Coturnix japonica: one gene and its partners. The protein of the gene in region 6 purifies or fractionates together with the protein of the main gene of each other region. This does not show direct contact. Links are inferred from orthologs where the notes say so. Each region holds a gene or a part of one and is shown on either strand. Other genes may lie near its edges. The genes, in order: RBBP4, MYO1C, BAZ1A, CHRAC1, HMGXB4, SMARCA5 and BAZ2A.

Region 1 (3,992 bases), on a different chromosome or scaffold from region 6:
CTTCCAGCTGGGGCTCTCAGCAGCAGCCGATGGGGAGCAGCTGCACACAGGCTGTGCATGAAAACAAGATTAGAAGCACAGAGTTCAGTGCTGTGCTGCTCACACTGCCGGCACACAGCAGTGACACCCAGCACCGCACCGACAGCGAGCACTGACAGTGTGCAATGCACCAACAGTGTGCACTGAGAGCATGCACCAACAGTGTGCACTGACAGTGTGCAATGCACCAACAGTGTGCACCGAGAGCATGCACCAACAGTGTGCCCTTCAGCCTCTGCAGGGAGGAACCCTGATCCTTCCGTGTGAATCACCCTCCAGCAATAAAATACTGCATCTACGAGGACATAATTCTACCAGCTCTACAGTAAGTTACACGGGTAACTTTGGCTTTGGAGCTTCACTGCACAGGGTACACAGCCTGCTGTGTGTCATGGCACATGATGGGGCACAGCACATTGTTATGGGGCACAGCACCTTATGGGGCACAGCACGTTATGGGGCACAGCACGTTGTGATGGGGCACAGCATGTCGTTATGGGGCACAGCACATTATTATGGGGCACAGCACATTATTATGGGGCACAGCACATCGTTATGGAGCACTTCAATCCCACCCAGTGGATCCCACCAGTCGGTTCCACACCGACTCTCCCTCGCAAACACATCAGACCGGCTGCAGCGCCCCATTAACTTCAGGGTAATTATTTCCCGACATCCCACGTGAGTCCACCGTGGCTTTTCCCATAGGAGCAGCTCTCACTGCCGGCCATGGGACGATCCCACACGGGATCTCCGGGTTCTGTTCGCAGATCAGCACCGAGACCTGCGAGCTGGGAAACGCTCCTGGGAGGGAATAAGGCCGAAAGAGCACAGGGCTGAGTGTGAACGGAGCCACAAACCGGGAACGGGGCGGGTCACAGAGACCCATTAAGCGACCGGTAACCGGTAGGACAGAGCTCAGGGGCAGCTCGGGGCCGGCTCACGGTGCCATCCTGCAGACCCCCCCCCCCCCCGCGCAGACCGCACTCACCGGGGCACTGTCCCTTTAAGAGCCGCCCACCCGCTCCGTCCGGAAATGGCTCCGCGGAAATGGCCGCCCTCACACGTGACCGCCGAGCGCGCTCTCCTGCCCCTCGTTCCCGCCCCTTGCCTCTCTCCGATTGGCGGAAGCCTCCCGGCGGCGGGCGGGGATTGGTCAGTGTTGGCGCGCGAAGGGGTGCGCGGCGCGGGAGCGGCAGGGAGCGGGGGCAGGAAACAATAGAGCCGCGTCCGGAGCGGAGCCAGCAGCGCCCGCCTCGCGCAGCGCAGCCTCATCCCGCCGCCCACAATGGCGGACAAGGAAGGTAAGGCCCGGCGGCGCGGCCTGGGCGCTGCGGCCTTCACTCGGCTCCGAGAGGCCTCAGGCCTCACTGCCCGCCCCCCCCGCCTCCATCGGCCGGCGCCGTGCGCAGTGATGGCGGGGGGGCTCCGGCAGGGGGCGCTGGGCCGTGCCCTGGGGCGGGGGGCGTCCCGTGCGGCCTGCGGGGCGCTGGGGGAAACAGCAGGGACCGGCCTGTTACAACGGGTTACAACGGGTCGCTACGTTGACACTGCGAGGGGCTGCGGGCGGGGGGGGCGGCGTGTCCCGCAGCAACGTTGGGTGATAAACAGCTGCGTGTGGTGGGGCCCGTTATTGAGTGAGGGCCCCGTTATTGAGTGCTCCATTATTGAGTGCCCCGTTATTGAGTGCCCACCCATCTCTGTGTGTGTTGTGCCTGTCCTGATAAACGCTAACATCCCGCATTGCTTTCATGAACCCTTCAGCAGCCTTTGATGACGCAGTGGAAGAACGTGTGATCAACGAGGAGTATAAGATATGGAAGAAGAACACACCCTTCTTATATGACTTGGTAATGACCCACGCTCTGGAGTGGCCCAGCCTGACTGCGCAGTGGCTCCCCGATGTGACGAGGTGAGGGTGCGTTCTGGATGTACTCCTTGCAGAAGTAAGGCTCCGTGTGACTCCTTGTCTCGTCTGCAAACCCCAGAGACACCTTTAATGTGGGGAAAGTGCTGCTTATCACCAAGAAAATGCTTCACGTCTTTGATTTTGATGCTTTTCTTCTTCCAGCTTCGTTCTCCTTTTTGAAATGCAAAGCCCTCCTCCCCACAGAGAACTAAATATAGTTTCACTTTAAGCACTCTTTCATCCTAATCTTCCACAACATTCTGCTTCCAAAGAGTGTATATGCATCTCCAACTGTGCGCTGGGGAGGCTGTTAGAGTCTCTTAAAGGAAGGCAGGGGAACTGCTGGAGGTATCTGGGGGTAGGTGCTGTTATGCTCCAAGAATTGTGATTTGAGATCTTGAGTTGGGAGGAGAGATTCTTCTGGAGGAAGAAATACAGTGTCAGAGCAGGAGAGCAATGGTAGTTTCTAAGGATGTTACAGGTGTCGGAAGCTGTTAGCAGTACATACCATATTCAGCTCAATGTTTGTGTAAACTCCATGTGTTTCTCACCTGAGTTTCTTCTCTCACAGGCCTGAGGGCAAGGATTTCAGCATTCACCGGTTGGTCCTGGGGACTCACACTTCAGATGAACAAAATCATCTCGTGATAGCGAGTGTGCAGCTGCCTAATGATGATGCACAGTTTGATGCCTCACACTACGATAGTGAGAAAGGAGGTAAGGGAGCAAAGATGTCAATCAGGTGGGGCTTAAACTCTGTTTTTCCTCCACTTCTTAATGGTTGAATCCATTTTTCTGCATGCTAAAAGTTCTTAACAATCTAATATTAGCTTTTCTTCTTGCCAGAAGCCTGGATTATGCAATCTGTATTGTGATCTTTGGGCTTCTTAGAGTTATTTGTAAGCAAGACAATGCTTACTTATGTTCTTTATTTTTTCTCCCACAGAGTTTGGAGGCTTTGGGTCTGTTAGCGGAAAAATTGAAATTGAAATCAAGATAAACCATGAGGGAGAAGTGAACAGAGCTCGTTACATGCCACAGAACCCATGCATCATTGCTACAAAGACTCCATCCAGCGATGTCCTCGTCTTCGATTACACCAAACATCCTTCTAAACCAGGTGGTTGGAGCTTTGTCACCTTCATGCTTCAGAGCTACAAAAATAACCACAACAGCCTTTTCTTAAGGTTGATGGGGTGCAAAAGAGGCTGAAAAGTTTTGTGGGTTGCATAGCGTGTAACTTTAATCCTTGATGTGCTGATAGTGATTCTAAGCATCGGAGTTCTTACACTGCCTTTTTACAGACCCTTCTGGAGAGTGTAACCCTGATCTGCGTCTTCGTGGACACCAGAAAGAAGGCTACGGGCTGTCGTGGAACCCAAACCTGAGTGGGCATTTGCTTAGTGCTTCTGATGATCACGTGAGTGCTTTTAAGTGTAGCTGGGGTGCGATCTGCACTTTGTGTCCCTTGACAAAGGTCAGGAATGTTTCTGTGTTTGAGGGGATGGAGGTGGGGGAGTGCAGAGAATTCCTGTCTAAAGATACAATTTTTATTCGTTTTGGTTTTCCCTTTTTTTTTTTAAAGACCATTTGCTTGTGGGATATAAGTGCTGTTCCAAAAGAAGGTAAAGTGGTGGATGCAAAGACCATCTTCACAGGGCATACAGCTGTAGTGGAAGATGTCTCCTGGCACCTGCTGCACGAATCTCTTTTTGGATCTGTTGCTGATGATCAGAAGCTCATGATGTAAGCGGGGTGCTTTCTTTAGAGGCTGAACATCTCAGTCCATTTTGCCTTCCCAGCTGCTCCCTGGTCTGCCCGTAAGGTGGGGTGTAAGCCTTCATTCCAGGTCTGTTCCTTCTGCTTACAGATGGGATACGCGGTCAAACAACACCTCCAAACCCAGCCATTCCGTGGATGCTCACACAGCTGAAGTCAACTGCCTTTCTTTCAATCCCTACAGTGAGTTTATCCTGGCTACAGGATCAGCTGATAAGGTAAATGTTTGTATTGAATTTGGAGTAGGAGTTGGTGTGTCATGTTG
Region 2 (2,364 bases), on a different chromosome or scaffold from region 6:
AAATGGGATTCACCAGTGACTGACAGGAGTGGTCGTGTCCCCTTGCCCCCATTGCTGTTACCTTGTGAATGAAGTCACTGCTGTCAGTGCAGTGTGACCCGAGAGATGTTTTCCATGCCAACCTGTTGGAGATAGAACTTCAAACCAATTCTCTTGGTGCAGTCACTGAGAAGCCACGATCACAGACTATTGGTTTTCCACCCTAGGGCGACGTTGTACTTCAAAGCGACCACGTGATAGAGACACTGACAAAGACAGCCATGAGGGCAGACAAAGTGAATAACATCAACATCAACCAGGGCAGGTGAGTGGAGCCGTGCAGGCCCAGCCCTGCTCAGGAGCTGCTTCATTTTTGTGTTGGTTCAGCTTTAGCATTACAGGGCTACAGGCATTAAGTATGTCATCAGAATATAATTAACTAAGCCTCCGTTTCCTTGAAGTTCACCTATAGCCATTAAGCACCGGTAAAGTGAAGCCACACATTCTAAATCATGTTTCTCACCTGTTTTTCTCTGCAGCATAAAATTCACAGTCGGTCAAGGCAAGGAAGGAGTCATCGATTTTATATCAGGCTCAGAACTGCTCATAGCCAAAGCCAAGAACGGCCATTTAACAGTGGTGAGTACAGGACTGGTAAGAAAAGTTACACACAGTGCATCAGAACGCAGACCTTGTCACTAGGCCACATTCACTGCAGAGACACGTGCCATGATTTCCCTGCTGAACACACTGTTCCTGCTCCAGGAACCCTCTCCCCAGTTGGAGTCCTGCACTTCTCTGGTCCCAGCACACTGCCAGGCTTGCTCAAACTCAAGTAACAGTCCTATCAATCACTTGGGTTCTTTTACACGATTCTGTCTTTAGTGCAAGTCAAGTTTTAAAGGACTTAAAAACACAAGAAGAAAAACAATTCATCCCTTTTGGAATTGTTTGTGGTCAGAAATGAATCCAGAGCCTCTTATTACAGCATCAGTGCTGAAAGATCCCCTCCCCTGCCATTCTGCAGGATGGCAGCTGTCAGGAATGGACTCAGCATTCCCACTTTGCTCAAACAAACCTGCCTTGTAAAGCCCACACACACAGTCCTGTCAGAGGCTTTCCCTGCTCCATGGGACACCCACCAGCTCTACACAGGAAGATTGAATTTGCTCAAGCACACTGCAGTGAGGATCCCACCTCTCTCCATTTGCAGTCAGCAAACCAAACTAAGAAGAAACGCATCCCTTTTCCACCAGCACTTTCAAACCATCCCTAAGATCATTCTTCCAGTTTTGCCCTCCCTCCCACTGCCCACAGAACAGATCACTCCTGCAGTGCTGAGCCTAAGGGAGCAGCATCACGTCTCCCATTGAACAGCCAGCACCTGCTTGTTTCCTGCTGAGCTTCAGTATTCCCAGAGGGAGCTTTATGTGCCCGTAACATCCCCCATAGCTCGTCCTGCAGGCCAGTCTTTGGTGAGCTTTAAGGATATTCAGGAGCTAAAGCCATTGCAGCACCTGTTTCTAGCTTGTCTGTCTCCTCCTGCAGGTTGCACCTCGGTTGAACTCCCGATGATAGAAGTGCCACCATCACAGAACCCCTTCCTCCATCAGTCTGACTACCCCCATCCATCCGTACCTTGGCTGGGTGTTGATCCCAGCACACCCCCTGCAGCCTCCCTCGCTTTGCTCATTGTGTATCGTTACCAAAGACCTGCACTTCCAGCATCCCCACAGAACGCATCCTGCTTTCTTGTCTTAACATGAAAGTTCCAAAAGAAAGGCCTTCTCTTCTCTTCCTCACCTTAGTGGCAAACAACAAGGGTCCAACACGACGGCCATGAAACCGTGGCTCACGAAACCTGCTTGGCCGGGCTTTGAGAGGTAGTTCTGACTCTATGTGAGTTTTAAGCCTTGATGGAAACGACCAAAATTTGTGCTTGACATCATCCAAAAGCACAAGCAGAAGAAACGCTGCTCTGTCAGCAGTCACCGAAATGCCAAACTTTATATTCAGAGTGTTTGATGGATGATTTTGAGATGTCGCAATGCTTTATGTTACAATATTAAAGCCATATCGTGTAAATGAGTAAAAAAAACCCCAACCCTGTAAATACTTTATAGCTGAATATGAGAGATTTACTACAAGAAACGGCACTGATGTGGAAACGTATGTTTTAGATTTGGAATTTCTGTTGTTTTTAAGTTTATGAACAGACTGTATTAACCTGATGAACCCATCACATCACCAACTCATCTGGATACAGCAGCTTTTCTTTTTGCAGCCTCCTCTCCCATTTCTGGCAGCACAGCCATGTTTTTATACTGCAGTATCAGAACTGCATCCAAACAGAACCTAAGGAACACAAACTGCAGAGGTCAGCAC
Region 3 (3,500 bases), on a different chromosome or scaffold from region 6:
AGTTGAGGTCTTGTGACTAGTGGAACCTGTTCTTGCAGGCTTGAGAGCTGGCCATAATTAAGACTGTTTTTGGGGTTGTATATTTCAAGGGGAAAATGAAATGTAGTGACAGTTTATTCAATTGCAGAATGTCACTTCAGTGGTTAGAACTGTTGTTTCCTGCTTTTATTTACTTATTTCACTAAACTCTGGGTATGTGTGAGACTTGCGGTTCAACTACATTGGTCTCTTAAGGTGGTGAACTAAAAATTGCAGAAGTTTAGATTTTGAAAGTGCACTGTGTTAATGCAGTTAATATTAAGCTAAACGTATTTACCTGTAAGTGATACTTAATTGGAATGGTAATTAGTAACATTCATGAAGCCTCTCAAAAAGAGGTGCTATAGTACTTTAGTAATGTGAAATGGTAGCAAAATTCCAAGGACGCTGAAGAATCAGCCTCCTCAGTGCACAGAAGGCTGTGGATAATAAGTGTCATTGCTTTTATATTCTGGATGAGAATCATGACTGGCATGTCTGATAGATAGCTGAGAAAATAATCTAGCCCTTTTTCAGAATTTCACAAGTAGTTTAAAAAAAAAAAAAAGCCTTTTTTTCCATTGTTAAGCACTTTTTATTAAAAGTAAGGGTCTGGTTTTTTTTTCCACTGTCATTCACTTGTGATTCTAGCCTACTTATTCAATTAAAATTGTAATCTCATTGATCCCTTTTATTTGTTAATTTGTGTGGCAGTTGACAGATATTGTCTGTCCACTGAAAGTGGAAGCATGTGCCCTGCTGTTACCCTGCATACAGCTACAAAGAAATCTATCAGTAACATTTATTACCAATTAATTTTCAACTTAGTGTGTAACGGAAGTAAAACTTGCATAAAAGCCACTGAGTTGATAACTGGATTTCAGATGAATCGACTTTTCAGTAATAATTGTTTTAAATATTGAAAGTTAACTTCTTTAAAGGATTTTGCTGTAACAGATATTTCATGTGTATGTGCCATCGCTGCTTCTGAAATGCTTTAATAAGCTTCTGTAAATCTATGCATTTGGAATCAGTCATCATCTTTTGGCTTTTTTGATAGGGAAAGAAAGTAATAAATGTCTGTATGCTCATTAAGAGCTGAGAAATACAACTTTACTACAACCTTGGGAAAAAACATGTATAATACATAAGCCCTAAAATTCTGATTCTCTGAAGAACTTTCAAGTGATTGAATTTCTGGTTGGCATAGAAACAATTCAGTCTTCAAGACAATATGTTTTTCATATGTTAATTATAAGAAAGATCAATCTATTTAAACACAGTTAATTTTATTTAACTTTTTGTGAAAGAAAAAATTCTTGTTTTTTTCCTCCTATGTAGCTTTTGAGAAAGCTAGATTAAAACGAGAGAAGGCAAATGCTATAGAAGCCAGAAAAAGAGAGAAAGAAGATAAGGAAAAAAAGAAAGAAGAACTAAAGAAGATTGTGGAAGAGGAAAGGATGAAGAGGAAAGAAGAGAAAGAGAGACTCAAAATAGAAAAGGAAAAAGTAATGTATTTGCAGAATGTGTTTTATATGGGAACAGGCCATCTAGCTCATTTGGTTTGTTTGCAGTCTGTGTCATTGTTTTCCATTAACTGTTTTTAGTTCCTAGAAATGCACTTTAGAAGAGTAGATACTTGTAAGACATGATATGGAACTGCATTTCTAGATATCTTTCTGTATTTCAGGTTGTTAATTCACAAAAATATATTTTTTGTTCTCCCTTGATACTAGATTTAGATTTCCTCGTAGTTTATCTTTGAAAATTGGTTTAAAAAAACCAACCAAACAAAACAACAAAAACAAGAAAAAAAATTGTCGCTTTACATGGAATGAAATTATTTAATGCCACTGAATTCTACTACAGTCATATCCAGTACCTGTTTTGACAGTCTTTTTTTATGGCAACTTTCATGAATGCTTTTATTTTAGATTTTTTTTTTTTGTCTGACCTCCATTTGAAAACAAAAAAGTCTAATCCAAGGAAGTATTACTGAAGCTCACCCTCAGTTTTGCTAATACATTCTGTAAGAAGGTTAAAAATAGATCATCGCTTTCTGTTGAAATACGTTCTTTTTTACCCCCCCCTCCCCCCCTCCACTGTGAGTTAAGTTCTAACGAATGATCCGACTGTATCTCTAATACAATTCTGACTTTCTTTAGGAAAGAGAGAAGCTGCGTGAGGAAAAAAGAAAATATGTGGAATACCTGAAGCAGTGGAGTAAGCCTAGAGAAGATATGGAGTGTGATGATCTTAAGGTAGGGTTGAATTTGGAATATATGACAAGCTTGTATTTCATAGGGAATCTGCTTATTTTTGCTTGCCTGGACTGTTCTGTAAAACTTAAATTCAAAATTCTTGTGAAATAGTACAGTCTTAAAAGAGAGATCTTGACACCCAATCTTCTTAACTTGTCGTGGAATTGAGTTCCTTTAAACGCAGTCAAAAGTTGTGTTTATGACGTAGAATAATTTGGTATCTCAAAAGATGTATATCCAAATTACGTGCTATAAAAGTTACAAAAATGCTGTTGTGGTAATAGATTGTTTGTATCTATCTTCTGTGAAAAACAACCACAAAAAGCCACATAGGTATGATTCTTAGAACCACGGACTGTTTTTAATCAGCTGTGTATTCTGTAGGGACCAAATACAATATTAATGTCTTCCTTTTGGATTGTAGGAACTTCCAGTTCCAATGCCAGTGAAGACGAGACTTCCTCCTGAGATCTTTGGTGATGCTTTGATGGTTTTGGAGTTTTTATATGCTTTTGGGGAACTCTTTGATCTTCAAGATGAATTTCCTGAAGGAGTGACTCTAGGCAAGTTGTCATTTATGTGGCAAAATGCCTCAATTTTGTGGTGTCCTTCTACCAAGCATTTTAGATGCACCATAATACTGCTGCTACAGGATTGTCTGTGCAACTTCAATATAGCAACGCTTATACATGCACATCTATCAGTTTTTCTTCTCACCGACTTTTGCAGTGTTTATAAAAATAATTTCAATATAAAAGCTGTTAATCTATTTGCTATTACTGTCTCCTTGTGCTTTCTTAATCTGTAACTGCAAGAGTAAAACAAACTATGCATTGTCAGTTCTTACAGCGTTATTGCAGGAATATTTGTGGTAAATTATGGGAAGGTGACTGGATTATCATACCTGAAGGAAAGATGTTTGTTTTCTTTAATTCTTCAGTACGTAATTGTTTTCCAACTTTGTGGCAAAAGTGACGCTTCTTAAACTTTATTCACAGAAGTTTTAGAGGAAGCTCTTGTAGGAAATGACACTGAAGGCCCACTATGTGAACTGCTGTTTTTCTTCCTGACTGCCATCTTTCAGGCAATGGCCGAAGAGGAAGAAGAAGTGGCCAAAGATCAAATAGCTGATGCTGAGACCAAAGGTCAGGTCCTTAATTTTACTGCTAAAAACCTGATTGTGCTGGAATTAACTTTAAACTGCATGATCTGTGTCATTTC
Region 4 (4,234 bases), on a different chromosome or scaffold from region 6:
GTTCCAACATGGCCAAATATTCTATTATTCCAGCTGTAAATTGGAGTAGTTGATGTTTTATTGTCTCTAGGAGATAATCAGATTGTGACTCTGTAAACACAACAGTGTAGAGCTTTGACATTGCCATTAAGCTACTCAATCTCCTGGTTGAATTCATTCCAAGTGGTGGAGAAACTGAGAAGATGCTTAAATATGTATCTCGCTGTCATAGTAATGTCAACTGTTTCCACAAGGTGTCACAAGACTACAAGGATCAAACAAACTGAGCCTGATCGATACATATACAGCATCATTGTACATAACACTTCACTTTGGATATAATCTACAGAGTGATTTCACCAGTGTTGTACTCTGAAGTGAATCACGCAGTCCAAGAGGTTTTGATTGCTGTTGCTTAACTGTCAAAGTTGTCTCCAGATACGGTGATGCTGGACCCAAAGCCAATGAACAAATATATATTGTTGTGCTATCGCTGTATTAAGTTGCTGACAACTGTTGAAGGTGCCACATTTTACCCAACAAGTTGTGCACCCATCCAAACCACAGGCTGTGCAAGACATTGCTGACCATACCCACAGCCATTCCCCATCCACCTGCAGCTCAACACAGAGTGTAGGTGCTACATATATGTGGAATGCATTCATAAAGTCACCACCGCCATCATTACTTCATAGTTTACTTATGCTCTCCACACCCAGCACGCCTACAAGCGCCAGGATACCAGACAGCGCTCCCTGCTATTGGGCTGCAGCAGCTTAATGAGGCGTTTAGCAACCTGTGATTACACTCATGACTCTGTAGCCGCTGGCCTCTACTTGGATTATATTTAGGAAGCGCCTATTTGCCATTATAAACGAGTTCCAGGCGCTCAAGCAGTATGAGACCCTTGGTTGCGGGGTGACCTCATTGCAGCCTTTCAATACCTGAAGGGAACTGACTCCCAGGAGGGGAGTAAACTCTTCGAAAGGGCTGACAATAGCAGGACATGGGGAAATGGTTTTAAGTTAAAAGAGGGAAGATTTAGGTTGGACGTTAGGGGGAAGTTCTTCACTAGGAGAGTGGTTAGACCCTGGAACAGGCTGCCCTGGGAGGTTGTGGATGCCCCGTCCTTGGAGGTGTTCAAGACCAGGTTGGACGGGGCCCTGGGCAACCTGATCTAGTAAAGGTGTATGTTTGGTGGCCCTGCTGGGCAGGGGGGTTGGAACATAATGATCCTTGAGGTCCCTTCCAACCCGGGTCATTCTATGATTCTGTGAGACCCGCTCTGAGGGGCTGTGAGGAGCCGCCATCCCGCCCATAGCACCAGAGCCGGCAACGGCCGAGCGCGGGGGCTCGTAGTCCTCCCGCCGCCCGGTCAGCGCTCGGCTTCACGGGAGCTGTAGTCCCTCCTCCTCCTCCCTCCAACGGAGCTCGGGTTCCCTCTGTCGGTCACGGACTACAGCTCCCAGGGGGCCGAGCTGCTGCCGCCCATTTCTCGCTACGATGAGGGGTGAAAGGCCGGGGCCGCGCCGGGGGGGTAAAATGGCGGCCAGGTTGAGCGGCGGGGAGAACCGGCTGGTGTCACTGCCGCTATCGCGGATCCGAGTCATCATGAAGAGCTCGCCGGAGGTTTCCAGCATCAACCAGGACGCGCTTTTCCTCACCGCTAAAGCCACGGTAGCGTCTCCCGCTTTCCCTCCCCTCTCGGCCGGGTTGCGCCTTTTCCCTCAGCGCCACAGCATCCAGCGCCCTGTATATACCTGCACTTTAATTTTTTATGGCTTTGATTGGGAGTTAAACTGCCTTTTTTATATCCGAGTCACTATTATTTGCTTTCCGTTTTAGGAGCTTTTCGTTCAGTATTTGGCGTCGTACTCCTACAAACACGGCAGAGGCAAGGAGAATAACGCCCTCACCTACAGCGACCTGTCTCACACCGCAGAGGAGTGCGAAACCTTTCAGTTCCTTGCAGGTATCTGTAGAGCAGTGGTAATCCTGTGTGTAGTTTTGTAGATCTGCTGCACTTTAGCCACTCTTCCACTCCTGCTTTTGCAATCACCTCTGCTAGGTGCCCTTATTATGTGTGCAAAAAGATGTGGAGTTGTTAGAGCAGGTCTGCAGGAGGGCCACAAAGATGATCAAAGGGCTGGAGCACCTCTCTTATGAAGAAAGGTTCTTTAGCTTAGGGAAGAGAAGGCTCCAGAGGGACCTCATTGCAGCACTTGAATGGAGCTTACAAGCAGGAGGAAGTCTGACTTTTTACATGGTCTCAGCGATAGAACAAGGGGGGGGGGGGGTTAAAACTAAAAGAGGGGAGATTTAAATTGGATTTTTATTAATTTTTATTTTATTATTACTTTTCTTATTTTTTACTGAGAGGGTGGTGAGGCACAGCAACAGGCTGCCTAGAGAAGCTGGAGATTCCCCCTCCATGGAGGGGTTCAAGGCCAGGTTGGGTGGGACCCTGGGCAGCCTGGTCTGGTGGGTGGCAGCCCAGACCATATATAGTTGGAACTAGATAGGCTTTTAAGGTCTCTTCCAACCCAATCTATTCTGTGATTCAAATCAAACTCATAATCTACATTGCTGAAAACACCTATTTGTGGACAGGGATTTCTCCAGTGTTGCAAAATTATACTGGGGTAATTAGTGCTCAGTGTATTGCCATAAGCGTTTCTAACATGCCAACAACATTTAAAAGCTTTCAGCTTGTAAAACAAGACCCAAAAAAGATGTGACAAATTACATGGCTCAAAAAGCATTTAATTCTGCAAATCCTGTTTGTTGAAAATTATGCATCCTATGGTTCCTCTCTCTTTTTTAATGCACATATTTACATCTGTACGCACATGTGCATGCAGACCTTTCTCTTGTTGTAATTTATTGGTAATGTTTCACTCTGAAAGGGCATGGACATAGGATAGAGTCTGAGAATGAGATATTTGATGGCCCTTGTCTCAGGGCCATCGTTACTGCCCTGAATGAGCATCTTACCTGAACACAGTAATCAGGTTTGTCTAGGACACAAGTAAGGCAGCTGTCCTATTGAATCTCTCAAAGGCTGTTGAGTAATTGAGCATCCCATTTAACATCAAACAAATAACATTGCTTATAGTTAAAAAAGAAAAAAGGAATTACATCCACTTCCACTTGTGATACATCTGTACGCCAGGCTAAATTAACTGGTTATTAACTGAAATGTGTTAGTTGCTTTGGTTTTGTTTAGTGCTGCTCAGTCCCTTCTAACCTCTGTGACTGTGTGATCCTGTATGAATGCAACACTATGAAATAGGCAATGTAAGTACTTACACTGACTAAAAGAAGCCATTCTCCCTTCCAGATATCTTGCCAAAGAAAATCCTAGCTAGCAAATACCTAAAAATGCTCGAAAAAGAGAAGCGAGGTGGAGAGTTGGGGAACTGTGATGAAGAGGATGATGATGAAGAGGATGATGATGAAGCTGTGGATGAAGCTGTTGGATCTTAAGGCTAAATGGGAAGCTGCTTCATAATTGATCCATTTTTTTTTGTTGCGTAAAGGATGTTATTTTTGTGACTGAGAATCCAGATGCTGGATTTATTTATACACTGAGCCATCTGCTTTTGCTTTAAGAAGTTTAAAAACTGAACTGCGTACTTCCTGAAGAATGGAATTCTTCCCTCAGAAACGTGGTGACAAGAGAAGCACTAATGTAAAGCTGACAGCAGAACTTGCTCAGATGAATGAGAATGACTTCTTCAGACAATCGTTTTCCAAACGTACAATTCCTCACAGGCAGCTCTCAGTCCAAAAGCTCTTTCACTCTTTAAAGGGAGCTCTTTCCCATGTTGTGTTTCTCAGGTGAGGGGAGGGGTTTTACACAGGATCTGCTCCCCCTGGTCCTCTTCTGCTTGGGGAGCCAGGAAGCGATCCAACCCTTCCCCTGTATTCCGGAACAGTGGCAGGGCATTAGCAGTGGACCAAGCCCGATTTGAATGAGTGTTCTGTTTTGATTTTGATTTAGCTTTAAAAAAAAGAATAATAATAATAATAAAGCTCTTGCTGTAATGCAGCCTAAACCGGCACATCCGCACAGAAGCTGAGTAGAGGACGAGAACCATTCCAACAGCGAATGTGTTTCAGTGGCCGCAGTGATAAGAAGTAGATGTGGTGGATAACAGCATCAATGTGTACAAGATCCTTCCTCTGTAATCAGCTCTGTGTGCCCGTGGTGCTCTGATAAAATACGCTGAGTGAAGTCTGTTAAACGTGGATT
Region 5 (3,500 bases), on a different chromosome or scaffold from region 6:
CAACTCAGGTCAGAAAGTCTGTAGAGAAAACTTTGAAGGTGCAAGAAAGCGTATAAAGCTTAAGACGAGATGGGATGGGCTGCTTAAAAGTTCTTTTGTTTAGGAAAATTCCTGTAGAAGAAAGCAAGAACTGTTAATTGTGTCCTGAATTGTTCAGTAGCTTTACTGGGTGAATGGAGGGGGTCGGTCCCAGTTAAAACGGATTCTGATTTTTTTCCTCAGAAAATAGAGCTGTAGTATCTTATCCTTGACTTCATGTACTACCCTGCAAAACTGAGATAGTATGAATGACTGTTCACACGAAAAGTAAGATACTTAGAATCTATAGTTGCATAAATAGGCAGCAAAGTATGAATGAAATGTGAAGTGATGCGCTGTTGTCTTCCAGATTCTGCAGATAGTCTGAAATGATAACTCTTGAGAGGGATAAATTTGCCCGGTTTCCTTGGGGCCTTAACTTTGAAATCATGTAGCAACAGCTTAAGTTTCTTTAAGACTTTCCTCTTTGAGCTGTTTCTGCTGTTAGCTCAACAATGACTACTTGTGATTTTTTTTAATGCTTTCAAATCTGGAAAAGTTCTAGTTTAAAAATAAAAATCTTCTGCCACATAGATGAAATTCTATAGAAGAGCTTCATTCTCAGACCATAAATTTGTCAAGAGATATGTAATAATTGGGCTACATGAGCTACTAAGGTCTATTTTCTGGCCTATCATTTTGACTGTCACCTCTGTGCTTTCTTCTGTTATCTTCTCCAGCATGTTAAATATGTACTGCTCACCTTCATTTTTAAGGCTTGACAGCCTATGCACGCTTATTTCTTAGCTTGATTAAGACGTGGATGTCTGTCTTTTAACAACTCATCAGCTGATGCCCAAGTGCTGTCTTTCATTGTCTGTTTCTTAACATTCTCAAATGTACTTTTTCATGTATTCTTGTGTATTAATTCTTTCGCTGGAGGAGGGATCCCTCTATATTTATAGATCTATCTATATCCCTCTAGTCTAATCTATAGAGATTAGTATTTCAGTTTCCTATGGTCCTGTTGTACTGTAGTTTCCACAGAAAGCTTGATGCTTCTTAGTTGGCTGGCATGCAGAAACCTATTCTAAAACTGCATTTTTTTGTTCTCTTGTGTATCCATACCATGCTTTTTGCCTTTTACCTTAAACCTACACTATGGGCTCTTGGTGACATACTATGTTTTCTTTGCTGATTTAGCACCTAGAATAAGAATAGTGGTTCATACGTAGGCTTACTTGGCATTATAGTAGTACAAGTATTTCTTGATACCTCCCACAGATTATTACCTATGTCAGCAGTCCATGTGAATCTTATGTTATTTCCCTCTTGTTTGTCAGCTTTTCATTCATTTATTTTTTCTTCTTCTTTTAGGACAGTGAACTCTTTTTGGGGACAGAACATCACAGAAAGAAGAGGAAGCATTCCTCTGATGAGTTCTGCTCCCGGGGTAAGACAGCTATGAGACAGGGGAAGCAGATAATGAATACTGACTTTGAGAAAAGGATACTGTTAAACCAGTGTCATCAAACTTTGTGGTTAGCGCTTTATCGGGGGAAAGTACACCAACTTATCTTAGGCCAGGCAGTCAGACGCCTGACTGATTAGGTTTCTGCTGCACCAAACAGCAAAAGATCACTCAATGATGTTTTCAGAGTTTAGCTTAACAAGTTGCTGTTGTTGGAGCAGAGATCTTCCACTCTTCACTGACAAGTTGTAGTTTTCTAACTCATGCTTTCCTCTTTGGCATTTGCATTCTTTTTTACCACTGCATTACAAGCTGTAGTCTTACTTGCAGATAGTACTAATTAATTTATCCGAATTTATAAAAATAGGATGTATTAGAATACAATATGATTGCTTTTGAGTTCAGATTGTATACAGAAGCGTTATTCACACAATGAGCCCATAAATTGACAATCCTGTTCATAAATCTTAGCAGGCTTAAGATTTATTTTTGTCCCAGTGTAAAAAGAAAACCAGGTCTTTGGAATCTCTTTGCAAGCTGAAATTAGTAAAAAATCTCTTTTCAGAATGAAAATGGTTATGCTCTCAGTTCATTGATCCCTCCAGGGCTCAAAGTGATGTTATAAGCTTGTAATATTTCAGGCTTAGTAAGACGTATTTTTATCAAATTATGCTGTTGTATAATAGAATACAAACTTTGATGAAATGCAAGAACTTTCCCATTCTGTCTTTCTTCATTAAATAGATTGACCAGCTCTGGTGTTACAGCTCTTGAATTGTTATCTATAAGGGCACACTGAGCTGACTGCAAGTTTCTCCTTCAGCCAAGATGAAAATCACTTAGCTGTAATATTAAGTATTGCAGGATTCCCACTTCACTTTTGGTTTGTGTAATGGTATCGTTAAGAGAATTGTATTGATAAGCAGTTCTCTTGACCATTTTCAGGTCTTTCATCTTTGGATCTACCATCAAAGAAGAAGAAAAAAGCAGTTTCTAGCCCGTCCTCCACTGACAAAAACATGGATCTACTCAAGGCTATCGCCACACCTTTATCCACAAGCTCTAAGTCTTCAAAGAAGACCTCTGAAAAATCATCTTATTCTTCCTCTGGACATTCTGAAAGCAGAAAGGAGCACCACAAGAAGAAGATGAGTGGGAGCAGTGCAGAGCACTCAGTGGACGATGGCAGCTTCCACAAAACTAAAAAAATGAAACCTCTTTACGTGAACACAGAGACACTTACCCTTCGTGAGCCTGATGGCTTGAAGATGAAGCTTATCCTTTCGCCAAAAGAGAAAAGCAGTGCTACAGACGATGATTCTTTCTCAAAAAAATCCTCAAAGAAATCGTCTCGAGATGAACAAGGGTCATTTCATCCGGGTCACGAACTGCATGGCTTCCTGAAGTCATCTCGGAAGAAGCACAAACCTCCAGACTCACATCCCCCTTCAGAGAGTTTTGGTGCTGACACATCTGTTTTTTCAGAAGGCCATGGGAGTGAGTATGAGATTTCAGGTGTGGAGGCACCACCAGAATCAGGATCCTCTTCTGGTGGGGAATTGGAGGCTGGTGAGCTAGTGATAGATGACTCCTACCGGGAAATTAAGAAGAAAAAGAAGTCAAAAAAAAGTAAGAAAAAAAAAGACAAGGAGAGGCACAGGGAGAAGAGGCACTCTAAGTCTAAAAAGAGTTCTGGGCACTCTTCTGTGGCAGCAACGGAAATAACAGTGTCACCACCACCTCCTTCCAGCACTCCCTATGTTCTTCCTCCACCTCATCCTGCTGTTTTTCACTCAGATGGACAAAATGAGAAGAGGAGGAAAAAGGAAGAAAAGGAGAAGGAAAAAGCTGAGAAGTGGGAAAAAGAAAAGGAAAGAGAAAAGGAGAAGGAAAGAGAAAAGGAAAAGGAAAGAGAAAAGGAGAAGGAAAGAGAAAAGGAGAAGGAAAGAGAAAAAGAGAAGGATAGAGAAAAGGAAAAAGAAAGAGAAAAGGAAAGAGAAAGAGAAAAGGA
Region 6 (4,285 bases):
TCCATCTCTCTCCCCTGTCTTGCTGTGGGGAGGGGACGAGTAAATGGCTGCATTTCCTGCCTCTGTAGAGAGGTTTTGGCTGGGATCTTTTTTGACATTATGTGAATGAAATACTTGGGGCTGATGCTGTATTGCTTGTTAACTTTGAAGCAAAAATTCTTCTCTGTTTATGATGAAGGAGGAAGCGAGAGAAACAGATAAACTATCCAGGTAGTATCTAGGAAGAAAAAATAATTTTGCCATAGAGGTGAACATCTTTAGTGGCCCACAAGGATCTCAGCACCACAAAGTGCCTTGTTGGATGACCAGGATGAACAAGGCTGGGGTGGAGATGGTACTTTCCTCCCTTCTCTCTACAACTTCTCTCATCTCCCACCAGCTGGTATGATCCAACCTGGTGATTTTTAAGCCAATAAATGGTGGTGTTGAAACATCTCCATCTCTTCCCAAGTGCCCGATTTCTTCCTAAAAGCTGCACTATTCTTCACCAGGGATCTTCTACCTGTGCTTTTGAGTGCTTTTCCTGGCAGACAGAGAAATCAGGTGGGCACTGTGTGGGGATCCCAGCCCTCTGTCCTGCCTGCAGTATGCAGACGGTGCAGCATCATTGGAGGCAGCTCTAGAAGAGCCCTAAGAGCAGAGGAGAGCAGGGAAAAACTGCAACCAGGGTCCTGTTAGATTGGTACCAGTAGCAAAAATGAATTATATCGCTGTGATCTGCAGCTGCTTATATTGAAAAACGAAAGTTGCCTCCCTGAGACTGGCTTCTGTCATGAGGGAAAACAAGCAGCGGAAAACACGAGGTTTGAGAAGGTGATGAACACTTCTGCCACGTTATTCTTGTTTTCAGACACCGGGTGACACAATGGCCGGGCCGTGTCAGAGCAAATTCCTTCCATTCCTTGGACATCTAATTGCAGAGCTGTAATCACAGCACAGCTGTAATTGCGTCACTCCTCCCTGTGTGGTTTCAGGGCTGCTCAGCACAAGGGCCAGGCAGTTTTCTACGTGCACGCTCGCTCCGTGCCTCCATTACCCGCTGGTGTAGCCATGTGTACCCGTACCGGAGCGCTGTGTCGCGGGCTCTGGCCCCGTGAGTGCCCGTTGTTTAGGATCACCATGTGCGCCCCATCCGAGCCCCGATCCGGCTGTTCCTGCCCGCCGTGACGCCGCCGCGCTGCTCCCGCCCCTGCTCCTGCCCCTTCCCCCGCTGCTGTCCCTCTACACGCGGTGTCGCGGCCGTTACCGGCCCGCGCGAGGCAGCTCCGCCCCAACCCGGCTGTTGCGTGGCCGCGCTCGCGAAGGCGGAACGAGACGAGCGGCCCCAACGGCGGCTGAGGAGGAGGAGGAGGAAGGAGGCGGCCCGCCGCTGAGGCCGGGCTCTCGCGAGAGCTGCTTGCCGGCTCGGTTCCTGGTTGGTGGGATCGCGCCGAGAAAGCCGGGGCGGCAGCGGGACGACGGGACGACGGGCCTCCTCGGCCGGCCGCGCACCGGGCTCCGCTCGTAGCAGCCCGACCCCGCCGCCAGGCCGCGAGCGCGCAGCCGGCCGGGAGCGGGCCCGGCCCGTGTCCCGGCACAGCGCCGTGTGCGGGGAGCGATCATGTCCGCCGGGCAGCAGGGAACGCCGCCGCCGGACGAGCCGCCCGCGCCGCCGGGGGCCGGAGGCGGAGAGGCCTCGGGAACGGCTGCCGCCGGCACTGCCGGAGCCGACGCCGCGATGGAGGTGAGCGCCGTGCCGGCGGCGGCCCCGCGTACCGGGCCGGCGGCAGGTGCCCGCCACGAGGGCGGCGGGGCGGACCGGGAGACAATGGAGGGGCGGGCGCGGGGCCGCGCCGTGCGTCGCGGCGCCTGCGGGGGGCGGCCTGCTGCCCTGCTGCCTACTGCCTTGCTGCCCTGCTGCCCTGCTGCCTGCCGCCTTGTTTTGCTGCCTTGCTGCCTTACTGCCCTGCTGCCGCGGCGGAGCTCGGTGTGTCCGCTCCCGAGGCGGGATGGGGTCCTGCCCCCGTGGCCGCCCCGCACGGAGCCCGCAGAACTCCCGCGTGGGTTCGCCGCGCGCTGCTTCCGAGTAACGCTCCCCGGCGGCGCCGGGCGCCTCGGTGTTGGCAGCGAGTTGGCGGCGCTGAAACTTGGTGGCTGTGAAGCGGTCTGTAACTTTTTTGGGTTGTGGGTGCAGGGAGCTGCTGCGGAGCTTTTTAGCGCTGTTTTGGCGGCAGGTGCTTATTTCGGGCTCCTCCCGGGTCCCAGGGATGCGGGTTTTATCGCGGCGCCGTGTCTGTGGCGATAGGAGGAAACCGGTCGGTCCTGCTCCCCGCGCGGAGCTCTGAGTCACGCCGCCCTCCGCCATCGCAGCGCCATCCCAGCGCCGCGGTGTTGAGCGCCGTGTTTTCCGGCTGGGCGAGGAGCCGGGGCGCTGTGCGAAACGGGTCCTGCCGCGACCTGCGGGAACGGGCCGCCTCCGGGCTGTGCTGCCGCGTGGGAGCTGCGAGGCGCGGGCTCCTCATGGGCCCGCCGATCAGTTCCTGGTTCGTGGGGAAGGGAAGAGCTGTGCGTGCCGCAGAGCTTCTGGTTGGGCGGCTCTTGGTAGTCCCGGACACCTCAGAAGCACGCCGGCTTCCTGCTCTGAGGCTCAGGCTGTAGTGTGGCACTGTGCTGCGGTGTGCCTTGCTGCAGGCCTACATGGAGAAAGGGGAATTTGGCATGGAAGTTCCAACAGCCCTGTCTGCAGAACAGAGGTGGCCGGCTGTCAGCTAAAGCAGGACATGGGGAAATGGTTTTAAGTTAAAAGAGGGAAGATTTACGTTGGATGTTAGGGGAAGTTCTTTACTAGGAGAGTGCTGAGGTCCTGGAACAGGCTGCCCAGGGACGTTGTGGATCCCCCATCTGTAGAGGTATTCAAGGCAAGGTTAGATGTGGCCCTGGACAGACAGGTCTAATAAATGTGGAAGATAGGTGGCCCTACCAGGCAGGGGGAGTGGAGCTTCATGATCCTTGAGGTCCCTTCCAACCCGGGTCATTCTGTGATTCTGTGAAATCCAGCGGGTGGAGGATAGAAAGATTGGGTGTAAGGTTAGGAGACCCTTAGCCGTGACTTTACGTTCTCTGTATTTTGGCTGGTGAAGGAGGTAGCTGTGTTAGCACTGTTCCGTTTCCACGGGCTGTACCTGCGGAGTTGTGCGAGGAGCCGCCCACAAACAGCCCGTGTTTTGCCTCCCTTTGTTTAGCGGTGTTTTGTACTTGTGCCTTTGTTCTCCGCCGGCTGGGAAGAGCCGCGTTCAGCTCTCACTCGGCTCAGCCGAGCAGATGGTTAACGGTGGCTCTGAGGGCACTGCTTGTTTCTGTTTCTGAGCCTCTCAGGAGTTAGTGCATAATGTGCTGTTTTACTGTGGTTTAGCAGAGAATGGTTGCCCTGTCGTTTGGGTTCTAGGAGCAGGAGGTGAAATAATTATATGTGGGAGATGATGGGGAAAGAACTGACCTGGTGTAACGGGCAAGATGAGGACAAAAACACACTGGTTGGAAGGAGCAGATGAAGGCAGGAGGTGAAGGATTTGGCACAGATGGGCTGAAGGGAGGGCTGTCCCTCCTGCCAGCATGGTCTCCTGTTACCAGCCCTGGTGTCAGTGATAACAGTTGTTTGACGTTTCAAACCAAACAATGGAAAAAATGCAGTTTCTCTAAATTCCCATGCTGCGTTCATGACAGCTGCAGCCCAGGTTCTTAGTTAGATTTGTTCCTTTGATACAGTATGATGAGAAAGCGGGATATGCTGGAAAAAGGGAAAATGAGGGAAGCACTCTTCCTTCAGGACCAGAGCTAGTTCTTCCCCAGCACTCTCCAGAGCCAGCTGTGGGGGCGCTGGCTCAGCACTCCACGGTGGCCTGAAGAGCTGCTGCACCACAGCTGGTCCCTCATCCACCTGGGTGGGATGTGGTTACGATAGAGCTGAACTGGGTCAGAGGGAGCTGTCTGACACCCTGCGGCAGGGATCTTTGATCCAGCCCCGGGTCACATTACAGTAACAGGAGGCTAACTGCATCAGAGCAGCAAAAGGTGGATGTGCCGGCTGATGTGGATAGATGGTAATTTGCAGCGAGCTTATTCTTTTCTATATAGGTATGTTTTCTTATTCCGGAAATAAGTTTTTTTTAATTTTTTCTCCTATTAGGAATCTTTTAATGATGCATCACCAGGAAAACCAAAAGAAATCTCTGAAGCAGATCCTACATATGAAGAGAAAATGGTATGTAACACTGAGAAATCCATACAGCTGTCCTGTCTTAAGCAC
Region 7 (3,926 bases), on a different chromosome or scaffold from region 6:
ACAACGCAGCACCTCCGAGACGGTGTCACGGTTCAGGCTGATCTCTGACACCTTCTCACCCAGGATCTTAAGGGACTGTGGGGGAATAGAGAGGGGTTGGGGGGCAGCAATGGGGGAGTCAGCTCTTGGAAAGGGTTGATAAGAGCAAAGCGAGGGGAAATGGCTTGAAGGTTGAGGTTGGATGCTGGTTCTTTGCTATGAGAGTGGAACAGCTGCCTAGAGAAGCTGTGGATGCCCCATATATCCCTTAGGGATGTTCAAGGCCAGGTTGGATGGGGCTGCTACGAAATGGGGAGGTTTGGACCCTTGGGGTCAATTCCAACCCAAACCATTCTGTGATCTGATGGGAAAACCCAAAGCCTGGAGCGGGGCGCCCCCAAATGGGGCCGTAATATGGGCAGCCCTGAAATGCAGCTCTCAACCTGCAGCAGCTGCAGCCTCAGGGCATCACAGGGCAGGGGGTGGGGGGGACACAGAGGGGTCGGACACATATCAGGGCATTACCTGGCAGTAGGGGGGCAGCCCTGGGTCATAGAGCGCAGCCTGCAGCAGCCTCACCAGCAGGTCCTGCACGGCGCCGGCGCTGCCGCCCACCCCCAGCAGCCCCTCCTGCATCGTGCTCAAGCTGGGCACGTCCCTGCTGGGCTCGAAGCCCAACACTTTGCCGTAGCTCTGCAGGAATTCCACCACCGTCAGGCAGTGGGAGAAGGCACGGCTGGGCAGCACCAGGCCTGGGATGCGCGAGAAGGTCGGAAGAGGCTGTGGGGCAAAAATGGGGCGGTCAGGGCAGGTTATATGGGATCAGAGCTGACAGACCCCCTTCCCCATCCCCACCTGGTGGTCCGCCAGGCACATATCCTCCGTCGGCTTCTTCATCTCCTCCAGGATGAGCTGCTGCCGTCTCCTCTCCTCCAGGCGCCGCTGGGCCAGCAGCCCCTTGTCCACCCTGCGCGGCCCTTTGCCCTTCTTCTCCTTGGGCCGCCCCTTGTCTTTGCCCTTCTCCATTTTGCCTTTCTTCTCCTTGGCCTGGAAACACAGCCCAGGGTGGGTGGCCCCTCTCAGCCCCCTCTTTACCCTCCCTCCCCCCACGGCTGCTGCAGACTCACCTTGCATTTCTTCTTGGCCTCCTTGGCTTTGGGAGCTTTCGCCTCTTGCTTCTGCTTGTTCTTGGCCTGGAAGGGAATAAGAGCAGCTCAGGGATGGGCAGCAACATGGGGACCCATTGGATGGGGCAGGGGGCTGCTCTGTGCCCCCCAGATGGGGAAGGGGGAGGCTCCATGTCAGCCACCCAGCCAGAGGGGCCTTAGGGCTGCCCCCAGCCCTCCCCAAGCCCTATTCACTCCTACCTTCCGCCTCATTTTCTTCTTGATTTTGCTCATTTTCAGCTTGTCCTCATCACTGAGCACCTCTATGACAATGGAGAGAAGGGGGGTTGGTGACAGCAAGTGGGGTGGGCTATGGGGTGGGCTATGGGGTGGGCTATGGGGCAGGGGGTACCTTGGGCCTCCAGCCTCTTCAGCAGCCTGGCATCCGTCTTGCTGAGCAGATCCACCATTCGGGCCTTTGGGGGCCGCCCGCGGCCTCGCTTCACAGCTGGCAGCTCTTTGGGTTTCACCTTCTCAGCGTTACGGGGTCGCCCACGTTTCCCAGTGATGGCCTGGATACGGGCTGGGATCTCCTCGGGGCTCAGCTTCACCCACTGCAGACCCTATAGGAACAAACCCCATTAGCCCCAATAGGGAGCGACCCACAGCCCCATAGCATCGCATAGGGTGCTATAGGGCACTCTAGAAGTGCTCACCTCCGGTGTATCCCGCTCCTCATAGAAATCCCCCACCGGCATCCGTGGGCTGAAGCTGAAGTGTTCCCGACGGACGTCCTGCACCACGTTCCTATTCAGATACTGAGGGGGGGGGGACAGGAGGAGGATGAGGGGCTGTGATAGAGCTGGGGGGGCTGCTTAGAGGCCCCCCCCCCCAATACTGTACCTTGATCACCTCCGGGAACTGCTTCATCCTCTTCCCACACGGCCCATAGTACCACGTCTCTCCCTGCCACCGGTGGTTCCCCCTTTTGATGCGCACCTCCCTCCTCCACCTGCACGAAGGGGGGGGCTCAGCATGGGGTCCCACACAGCCAGGGGGGATGTGGATATGGGGGGGGGCAGGGGGGATGTGGATATGGGGGGGGGCATCACAGGGGGACGTGGATATAGGGGCACTATAGGGGGATATGGAAATATGGGGGCACAAGGGGGTATGGTGGAAATATGGGGGGACTATAGGGATGTGGAAAAAACAAAAAACAAATGGGGAGGCAACCAGGGGATGGGGATATGGAGCGGCACCAGGGGGGGTTTATGTTTGGATTGATGGGGGGGGGGGTCACAGAGGATGTGGAATATGGGGCATTATGGGGGATGTGGATTGGGGGCATCATGGGGGGTATGGATATATGGGAAGCACCGGGGGACGAGATGTGGTTATGATGGTGGGGGCATCAGCGAGGATTAGATATAGGGGACAATGGGGGATTGGATATGGAGGCACCAGGGCTAGGATTTGTTATGGGGCACTATGGAATTTGATTATAGGGCACCACGGTACCCGTGCTGCAGAGGGGAATCGCACCTCCTCGGGGCGGACGGGGTGGTGGCATGCAGCCACTGCGTGGGACGGTTCACCTTGTAGGGCAGAGGGAGGGGAGGGATGGGGGGCCAGCTCCCCTCAATGGGCGATGTGGGGAGGGGCACCCAGGCCTGGAGGTGAGAGGGCGAGATTGGTGGTGGGGGGGTTTCCATCCTCACCTCCCACCGATGTGCTCAGTGGGCAGCGCGGGTGTCCGCAGCTCTTTGCTGTCCCCTTCTGGAGCAGCTGAAGCCTCCGTGCAGCTGTCAGCCACCTCCTCCTCCTCCTCCTCTTCTTCCTCCTCCTCTTCCTCAGCAGAAGGACACGGGGATTCGGGCTCCAGTGCAGTGCTGAGCTCCAGAGCCCCCGATTGCTCCGGGCCATCATGGCTGCTGCTCAGCTCAGGGCTGGTATCTGCAGGGCCAAAGGCAGCACCATCACAACCACCATCCCTTCCGACCCCCCCCCATCCAGCACCCAGCTGGGGGGCTCGTTTGGCTGTGGCCCCCTAATACCATACAATGTTGCCCCACCATTACCGTGCAGGGGGGCGGTGAGCTGGGGCTGGGCAGCAGCGGGGGCCGAGGCGGGGGCTGGCAGCAGGTTGAAGGGAGCGGCAGCGTTGGGGGCGGGGCTGGCAGCAGGGAGCTCCAGGGGGGGGGGGCGGGTTGTATCATTCATGGGCTTTCCAAGGGGATTATCGCGCCCACAGCTGCGTCTCATCCATCTCGCATAGAGGTTCACCGTTGTCAGGGTCTGAGGGGATTTGGCAAAGAGCTCAGCTGGGGCAGCAGGCGAAGCCAGAGTGATAACATGGGAAGGACGAACCCCATACAACACACACATGGCAGGTGAACGACCCCCCCCCCCCCCCCCCCCCCACCCCCCCCCTCCTCAAGAGGGCTCCAGGACCACAGAGGGAGTTAATGGAGGCCGCAAGCCCCCGCCCCCGCCCCCTCGGTTGGAAGCGGGGGCCCAAAATGGCCGCGGTTTAGCGGCGAACAGTTCGGCCAGCGCGGAAAGTTGAGGAAACCAGCTTCGTCATGCGCCGGGGAACGGAGGGAGCGGAACCGACGGGCAGGAGCGACCGGCCCCAAAGCGACCCCGCCCCTCCGCGGCCTGGGCACCACGGGGCGGGGCCCGGCCCCCCATAATACACAGCACCCCCCCAACATAGCAAACAACCCCCCATTAACAAAACATCCCCCCCTCCATACCCACCCCCCCCCCATTAACAGGGATAACCACCCCCTTCCCAACCCCCCCCCCCCCCCCCCCCCATTAGACAAATACCCCCCC

The links.
Region 1: the proteins of SMARCA5 (region 6) and RBBP4 fractionate together in Homo sapiens (co-fractionation; 6 studies listed by BioGRID and IntAct, with this or other methods). This does not show direct contact. The link is inferred for Coturnix japonica from reciprocal best matches to the Homo sapiens genes SMARCA5 and RBBP4.
Region 2: the proteins of SMARCA5 (region 6) and MYO1C purify together in Homo sapiens (affinity purification with western blotting; 3 studies listed by BioGRID, with this or other methods). This does not show direct contact. The link is inferred for Coturnix japonica from reciprocal best matches to the Homo sapiens genes SMARCA5 and MYO1C.
Region 3: the proteins of SMARCA5 (region 6) and BAZ1A purify together in Homo sapiens (affinity purification with western blotting; 8 studies listed by BioGRID and IntAct, with this or other methods). This does not show direct contact. The link is inferred for Coturnix japonica from reciprocal best matches to the Homo sapiens genes SMARCA5 and BAZ1A.
Region 4: the proteins of SMARCA5 (region 6) and CHRAC1 fractionate together in Homo sapiens (co-fractionation; 5 studies listed by BioGRID and IntAct, with this or other methods). This does not show direct contact. The link is inferred for Coturnix japonica from reciprocal best matches to the Homo sapiens genes SMARCA5 and CHRAC1.
Region 5: the proteins of SMARCA5 (region 6) and HMGXB4 purify together in Homo sapiens (affinity purification with mass spectrometry; 3 studies listed by BioGRID and IntAct, with this or other methods). This does not show direct contact. The link is inferred for Coturnix japonica from reciprocal best matches to the Homo sapiens genes SMARCA5 and HMGXB4.
Region 7: the proteins of SMARCA5 (region 6) and BAZ2A purify together in Homo sapiens (affinity purification with western blotting; 3 studies listed by BioGRID and IntAct, with this or other methods). This does not show direct contact. The link is inferred for Coturnix japonica from reciprocal best matches to the Homo sapiens genes SMARCA5 and BAZ2A.

What each region holds. Positions count from the first base shown.
Region 1 is NC_029538.1:4,587,403-4,591,394, forward strand, and holds the start of RBBP4 (histone-binding protein RBBP4), read left to right. Parts: upstream 1-1,192; 5' UTR 1,193-1,327; coding exon 1,328-1,343; intron 1,344-1,803; coding exon 1,804-1,951; intron 1,952-2,519; coding exon 2,520-2,665; intron 2,666-2,894; coding exon 2,895-3,068; intron 3,069-3,252; coding exon 3,253-3,368; intron 3,369-3,533; coding exon 3,534-3,694; intron 3,695-3,818; coding exon 3,819-3,945; intron 3,946-3,992. UniProt on the Homo sapiens protein: Core histone-binding subunit that may target chromatin assembly factors, chromatin remodeling factors and histone deacetylases to their histone substrates in a manner that is regulated by nucleosomal DNA.
Region 2 is NC_029534.1:4,011,093-4,013,456, reverse strand, and holds part of MYO1C (unconventional myosin-Ic), read left to right. Parts: intron 1-206; coding exon 207-304; intron 305-518; coding exon 519-618; intron 619-1,527; coding exon of another isoform or gene 1,528-1,554; exon of another isoform or gene 1,555-1,902; intron 1,903-2,364.
Region 3 is NC_029520.1:32,602,264-32,605,763, reverse strand, and holds part of BAZ1A (bromodomain adjacent to zinc finger domain protein 1A), read left to right. Parts: intron 1-1,359; coding exon 1,360-1,526; intron 1,527-2,183; coding exon 2,184-2,279; intron 2,280-2,703; coding exon 2,704-2,842; intron 2,843-3,277; coding exon 3,278-3,424; intron 3,425-3,500. UniProt on the Homo sapiens protein: Regulatory subunit of the ATP-dependent ACF-1 and ACF-5 ISWI chromatin remodeling complexes, which form ordered nucleosome arrays on chromatin and slide edge- and center-positioned histone octamers away from their original location on the DNA template to facilitate access to DNA during DNA-templated processes such as DNA replication, transcription, and repair.
Region 4 is NC_029517.1:131,125,106-131,129,339, forward strand, and holds the start of CHRAC1 (chromatin accessibility complex protein 1), read left to right. Parts: upstream 1-1,434; 5' UTR 1,435-1,482; coding exon 1,483-1,656; intron 1,657-1,824; coding exon 1,825-1,951; intron 1,952-3,319; coding exon 3,320-3,465; 3' UTR 3,466-4,234. UniProt on the Homo sapiens protein: Forms a complex with DNA polymerase epsilon subunit POLE3 and binds naked DNA, which is then incorporated into chromatin, aided by the nucleosome remodeling activity of ISWI/SNF2H and ACF1.
Region 5 is NC_029516.1:47,646,101-47,649,600, reverse strand, and holds part of HMGXB4 (HMG domain-containing protein 4), read left to right. Parts: coding exon 1-8; intron 9-1,395; coding exon 1,396-1,471; intron 1,472-2,434; coding exon 2,435-3,344; intron 3,345-3,500. UniProt on the Homo sapiens protein: Negatively regulates Wnt/beta-catenin signaling during development.
Region 6 is NC_029519.1:26,870,098-26,874,382, forward strand, and holds the start of SMARCA5 (SWI/SNF-related matrix-associated actin-dependent regulator of chromatin subfamily A member 5), read left to right. Parts: upstream 1-1,485; 5' UTR 1,486-1,600; coding exon 1,601-1,723; intron 1,724-4,061; exon of another isoform or gene 4,062-4,076; coding exon of another isoform or gene 4,077-4,079; intron 4,080-4,165; coding exon 4,166-4,240; intron 4,241-4,285. UniProt on the Homo sapiens protein: ATPase that possesses intrinsic ATP-dependent nucleosome-remodeling activity.
Region 7 is NC_029544.1:1,717,421-1,721,346, reverse strand, and holds the start of BAZ2A (bromodomain adjacent to zinc finger domain protein 2A), read right to left. Parts: upstream 2,801-3,926; coding exon 2,607-2,800; intron 2,098-2,606; coding exon 1,989-2,097; intron 1,904-1,988; coding exon 1,802-1,903; intron 1,709-1,801; coding exon 1,498-1,708; intron 1,409-1,497; coding exon 1,347-1,408; intron 1,173-1,346; coding exon 1,107-1,172; intron 1,027-1,106; coding exon 835-1,026; intron 760-834; coding exon 505-759; intron 76-504; coding exon 1-75. UniProt on the Homo sapiens protein: Regulatory subunit of the ATP-dependent NoRC-1 and NoRC-5 ISWI chromatin remodeling complexes, which form ordered nucleosome arrays on chromatin and facilitate access to DNA during DNA-templated processes such as DNA replication, transcription, and repair.